2 linked regions of the Caenorhabditis elegans genome follow. The protein of the gene in region 1 purifies or fractionates together with the protein of each later gene. This does not show direct contact. Each region holds a gene or a part of one and is shown in the gene's direction. Other genes may lie near its edges.

Evidence for each region.
Region 2: the proteins of Y59A8B.12 (region 1) and droe-4 fractionate together in Caenorhabditis elegans (co-fractionation; one large-scale study listed by BioGRID). This does not show direct contact.

What each region holds. Positions count from the first base shown.
Region 1 is NC_003283.11:18,084,900-18,087,778, reverse strand, and holds Y59A8B.12 (MATH domain-containing protein), read left to right. Parts: upstream 1-1,554; 5' UTR 1,555-1,560; coding exon 1,561-1,685; intron 1,686-1,731; coding exon 1,732-1,963; 3' UTR 1,964-2,070; downstream 2,071-2,879. Other genes in the region: slr-2 (Synthetic with Lin-35/Rb), read right to left, coding at 135-258, 307-410, 456-571, 617-646; fbxa-106 (F-box domain-containing protein), read left to right, coding at 2,652-2,697.
Region 2 is NC_003283.11:13,990,674-13,994,214, forward strand, and holds droe-4 (dietary restriction over expressed), read left to right. Parts: upstream 1-1,982; 5' UTR 1,983-2,088; coding exon 2,089-2,424; intron 2,425-2,490; coding exon 2,491-2,631; 3' UTR 2,632-2,803; downstream 2,804-3,541. Other genes in the region: ric-7 (CRAL-TRIO domain-containing protein), read right to left, coding at 109-207.

The sequences.
Region 1 (2,879 bases):
GATGAAACTCCTGGGTTTTACGTGTAAAATCAGTGCTTTCTCGAATTTTTTGGGTGAAAATTGGCCGAATTTTTCAATTTCCCATGAGCTTTGAGCCATTTTTCATCGATTTTTCCAGGTTTCCGTCCACTTACTGGACATGCTGCTGATATCCAGCAGGTTCCATGTACGCATCATCACAATAGGGACACCGATATCCCCATTCAGCTTTTGGAGTGTGATTTCGGAGTTTATGACGGTGTAGAGTCATTTGGGAGGCTGAAAAATCAATTTTTAGGCAGTTTTTTCGCGAATTTCCGCCAAAACCTGCAGCATAAACGCAATGTTCACATTGAAATGGCCGTGATTTGTTGTGAATATTCATATGCTCTGTATAACTCCGTTTTGACGATAATTCCTTCCGGCAAACTCTGAAAAAATTGAAAAAAATTCGATTTTTTCCAGAAATTTCTCACCCGCAGGTCCAAGTCTGCTTCATTGTCCTTCCATTCGAAGTTTGTCGGAATTTTTGAGTCGTCGGAAGTGCCAAATTCGATGGTCCCGGCTTCATGATGAGATGTTGCCAGTTTTCCTGAATTTCTGGATTATTTACGGAAATTCCCAGGTTCCGACTCACTTTACTGACGAAATGCTCACTTTTCGACATTTCCGGTGGTCTGAAAATCAAGAAAATCGATTTTTTCATCAAAAAACTCGAAAAAACATTGGAAAAATGAGAAAAATCCAGAAAAAATGACGAAAAACCGAGGAAAATAGGCGAAAAATTCAATGTCTCGAAAATAATGCAAGTGCGCTCCATTGGACTCGAAACGGTGAAATGCGCGCGAAATTCGAATTGGAAGAAAAATTTCGGTGGATTTCAGAGGTTTTCAGAGGTTTCAAGCTACCAAGAAAAAAAAATACACTTTGAACATTAGAAAATGTGTGGGAATTTGAAAAATAATTGAAAATCACTTTAGAAGCCCGAAAATTAAAGAAAATCGTCAAGAAAGTGGATTTTAACGAACAAATGACGAAGAAATCTTGAGAATTTCAATTTTTACGTATCATTTCAGTATTAATGTCGATTAATAAACATTTTTTGCCCAATAAAGTCAATTTCCAAGTTTCCAGCGAATAATCTCTGAAAATGCACAATAGGAAAACACAGAAAATATATAAAATTTGTCGTTTTTATTCATATTTTACAATAATCTTCAAAATTAGATGAATTATTCAATAAAACACGCTAAAGTCAAGCAGATATTCCTGCAAATTAAATTCAAATTCAAATTTCCCGCAGTTTTTTCAAAAGTACGCAGTACACCGCGACGCAAAAATGCACAAATCATCATTTTTTCGAATTCGGCGGCGCATTTTGAAAAAAAAGTCTTTTTTGTCCGTTTTTCAGCGAATTTTTTGCTTTTTCCATAGTTTTTTGCTTTTAATTTGAAAATCTACGCTAAATTCTAGTAAAAACTGTGCAATTTGCCACTTTTCCCCCCCTGAAAACCAACATTTTTGAGGTTTTTTCACCTTTTCTCCCAAAACTCGAGTAAAAATTTGAATTTTTCAGCAAAAATGGCCGATAATGGGAACGAGGAGGACCGAAACGGCTACATCATCAACCGAACTCGATTTGCCGCCGATTTTCACAACAGAAATGAAGATTTATCGGAATGGGAAGAGATGCGAGGCATCGAATGGTACTTTTTATGCCAGAAAACTCCCTGAAAACCTTAATTTTTCCAGGGATCTCATTCTTCACAGCGACGGAGGCCAACTTTACACACAGCTGGTCACTCGTTCTCGGCTACAATACGAAATCCCATGCAAATTCCTGCTGGAAGCTCAATATGGACAAGTAAAAGTCGGAGAAAACTTTGATGTGACAGTTTCTTCACGGAATCATACATTCGGAATGCGAATTGACCAACCTGCTGACAATGGAGCCATCAAGATTACTGCTTATATTGATTTCTGAATTTCCACTTGAATTTATGCAATTTGTGATATATTTTTAATTGTAACTATGTGTATACTTTGAATTAATTTCTTATTCTGTCGATTATCAGTGAAATATTGAATTTTAACCAATTTTATGATTATTTTCTCAAGTTTTCCGTAAAGGAAATCAAATATTTCGAAATAAATTCTGTTGGAGTACTGTAGTCGGCGAAGTACGCAATATCAAGTGTTTGCGTACTCGGCATTCTAATTGACGAGCTTCTGGCTCATTTTTAGATTTTCTTGGTTGTTTTTCACTTAAAAGTAGAGATTAACGTTTAAAGTGCGATTTTTTTGCTAATTTCTGCTGAAAAATAGAGTGTTATAACAAAATGTTTCTTTTCGTATGATTTTTCTCTTATTCTTTTCAATTTTCTGGCAATTTCCCTTGGTAAGAACATTTTCGCCAGAAAAATGACCGATAATTTGGAAGAAAAAATGAATTCGTTGAAAATGTAAGAATTTTACGGTTTAAATTGCCACATCTACTGATAAATTGAGTGGACTGAAATTATGAGAATTTGACGGATTTTCAGTGAATTTAACTAAGAAAAAATACACTTTCTCGAATTCAAACCTAAAACTTTTTTTTCAGCTCCAACACGGCCTCTCTTCATTTCAAAAAATAAATCAAATTGACGTGATGAACTTTCTCTGTGTCTCTCATGGGCGAGAGAGTGAGCTTTTTGAGCCGAATTTGTACTGAAAACGGTAAAATAGGCCGGAAACGGCTGATAGTGAACAAAATCTAATAAAAATTTACTAACTGCCTGATCAAACACATAGAAATTATATGAAAAAGGGCAAAATTGTAAATCACCTATGAATACGCCCACATGTGAAAGTTCAAAATTAGTGATTTTCCAGACAAAACTGATTAAAGCCGGCGATTC
Region 2 (3,541 bases), 4.1 Mb from region 1:
AGAATCACACGAAAGACCAAATTTTCTAGTAAATTTTTTGTAAACGTGGGAAAATTGTAGTGATGTTGAGTAATGTAGTGTGGTCGAAGCATTTCTGTTGAAACTCACCAAATCATGCAACTTTTTCAGATCTTTTCGCATTGAAGACGGACTGTAGCCTGGCCATTTATTCATAAAATCGCATTCTTGGACTGCATTGTCGAATCGCTGGAAAATAAACATATATTAGTTTTAATCTCCAAAAAAAATAATTTCTGGACTCGGAGATTTTGTTTAGAAAGTAATCTACCAAATCGCGCGGGTTTATAAAATTTGCCTCCCATAAGAATAAGTCTACTTTAAGCCAGTTTTTGCGTGGTTTTTGTTTTGTTGTTCTCCTCTCATACATCGGATTTTACTGTAATCCTATAAAGTGATTCAATTTCCTATTCTCATATCGTAGACATGTTGATTTGAAAGGAAACTGTCTCGTTTGACGTATTATAATAATCATTATTATTATTCACAGGCATTATTCTTCCTTTTTCCAGCTAGTCGACAGTTTCTGAAACTGTGGACACTTGGGGTTTTGAGCTCAAAAATCACAAGACAGAATATTAAATACTTCCACTTTTTTCACAGGTCAGATCTATCTGCAACAAAATGTAGTCAGAATGATACCAGATATAGGGTCATTTGACAAGGGTCCTTCTTCCTTTATTGACGTCAATAATGAAATCAGAACAAGAAATTGGGTGAAAAGTGCAAAGGGCACAAGATGTACTTTTGCCATTTTTTTAAATTTCTTTTTGAGCATCTTCGTGACCATTCAATCATTTTCAGAAGCGTTCTTCACACGCAAATGTGCCACTTCCACACCTCTCAAAAATTTGAAATTTTCACGCTGAAAATTGGATTCCTCATTTTGTGTGGTTCCTGGACACTTTAAGATTCACTAGGATTAAATTGAGATTAACAGTGACGCCCGGGAGCTCGGACTTTTCGGTTTTTTTCGGATGGGAATGCCGACTAGAAAAGTTACATTCGTTGAAGTGAGACATATTTAAAAGTACAAAACGATTTGTTGATCTTCTATACTTTATCAAATGTCTCTTTAAAGCTACTGGCAAACATTCAAATGATCACCTCATAAGGCGTGGTAGATCAATCACTAAACGTGCAGATTGTCTTTAAAAAAATTTTAACTCCAAAATTTGGTCGTTCAAATAATGAGTCAACGTTGTGGCTCACAAAACAGAAGAGTTCAGAAATATTTTTGGTGCTGGTAGCGATGCGGATAACTAATTAGTAGAGGCTAACTGAAATCATTCACGTCAAGAGGCAAAAGAACACCGAATCGCTGAGTCAAAAAGAGTTCTGATCAACAGTAGGGAAGATCGCACTGTGTAGAATGATCTCAAATGGCGCCCTGTTTGGTACGGTGAAATATAGGGCTGTACAACCGGACGTCCGGTCGTCCGAACCGGACGCACATGCGTCCGGTTGGGGGTAGCTATCCACGACGGCCGACAATTTCCGAGTTTCGCCACTCACTATAAAACTGCTGATTAAGTATAGTGAGTGGCGAAACTCGGAAATTGTCGGCCGCCGTGGAAACCTACCCCAAAACCGGACGCAGTGCGTCCGGTGGTGTCAAAATCGGACGACCGGACGCCGATTTGTACAGCCCTAGTGAAATAAGTACACGTCAAAAACCCCAATTAGTGAATAAAGGGATATCCGTGTTATTTTTTTCCGATCTCCTCATTCTGAAAACCTTACTATCTATATGACATAACTTGGCATTCTTCCCTTGATCCTTATGTACTTTTAACTTAATCAAAACATGAGCTGACCATTTATCTTAACATTATCACCCGTATCTGTCACATGTTTCTAAAAAACACCTCCTGATCTTCAGCTTTTCTTTTCCACCTCCTTTTTCCTATTTTCCAGCTCTGTTCAAAGCCCGCCTTTCGTTACTAAAAAACTGACTCCGCCCATTTCAGCTTCATCATATAAACAGAGTTGGCAGTAGGGCTAATCACTACTTCGAGTCACTCGGACATCTGCCGATCTCTTTTTTTCGATCTCACTGAAACGGTCGACATGTTGAACACTCCAACTGTTATTCTCATCTCTTCACTCGTCCTGGCCTCGGGTTACAGTGTTCGTTCAACTGCTAAGAACACCGTTCAAGATGCTCACGATCAACTCACAAAGAGCATTCGGTGCTGGGAGCCGATTGATGTCAACAATCCATCAAAAGGATACACGATGAGCGAGCCGATCTACGAGTTGTGTAGCTACATGCCAGACCCAAAGGACTACAACAAGTACTACGTCAATGGAGTTCAAATGGATTCCGATGATTACACCAACATCTTGGCCATGTACGGAAATCCAATCCCAGGACACGCTGTGATCAACGTTTGTCTACAAGAGGTAGGTTCAATATTATCAGGCTTAATATAATTGGAGGAATCGGTTTCTTATATAAAATCACTTCAGGCATTCCAATTCCACGCTGCAAACCATCCATCTCAGGTCAGCCTACGTTGTTTGTGCAAAAGAGACGGTTGCAATCTACCAAAAGGATTTACAACCTTCCTCGATTTCAATAAGCTCCCGATGCCAGAAGTCTTCTACTAATTCCTGAATCCTTTCGTCCAATAATATGCTATTCGTCGGGATGTCGCCAGTCTTCTTTTCCTATAATCCCCATTTTTGAATAATTCCTGATTTTCTTCTTCCTTGAACCCGTGATAATGACCATTTCTGATAATTGAACAAACGAACTGAATAAAGATGAGAAACGTTGCAGTATTCTGAGTTGTTCCATAATCCCAGAATCTTCAAATGATCGATTGCTTACGAATATTTGAAAGAAAAAGTGAACAAAGACTATGGTATACATACTCTCCCAACTATAAGTTAGCCGACTATTTTCAGATATCATGAAGAGGCTCCTTCGACGTAGGTAAATCTTCTGATTATACCCATTCATCTTGATTGTATAAATGCCGGATTAACTGACATCCATTATTGCTTTCCATTCTTAATCCGATTAGATTATTCCATTTGTAGATCCACCAAAAAATGAAATATATGTGTGACGTATAGAGACCAAAGAAGCTATTCATTATTCTAGATCATTCCAACTGTCTAACTTTGGTTTTCAAACTTTTAAACAGTAAATAAATGAGCCCTGAAGAGTTGATCGCCGTGCGCGTCCAACATCACCCATACAACTCATAAAGTATTCTTCGTGTGAGGTCTTGTTTACGTCACGGGCTCTTCTTGCCAAAAAGCGAAAAGCTAAAAACGAAGAACATACAACGCAACATAGGTTATTCTGCAAAATTAATGAGATCTTGCTGATGAGAGTAATCGAACACAAATTCTTCGATGCATCTGAATGATCAATCTGGCAATGAGCAATGGATACACATAAATTATTTCCCCTGCAAAACTAGTGGCATTCAATTTGCATTTTAATGATAATATGGGAATGAGCACGAATCCTCGCTTATTCCATTTATAACATTCAGGTTAACCGGTC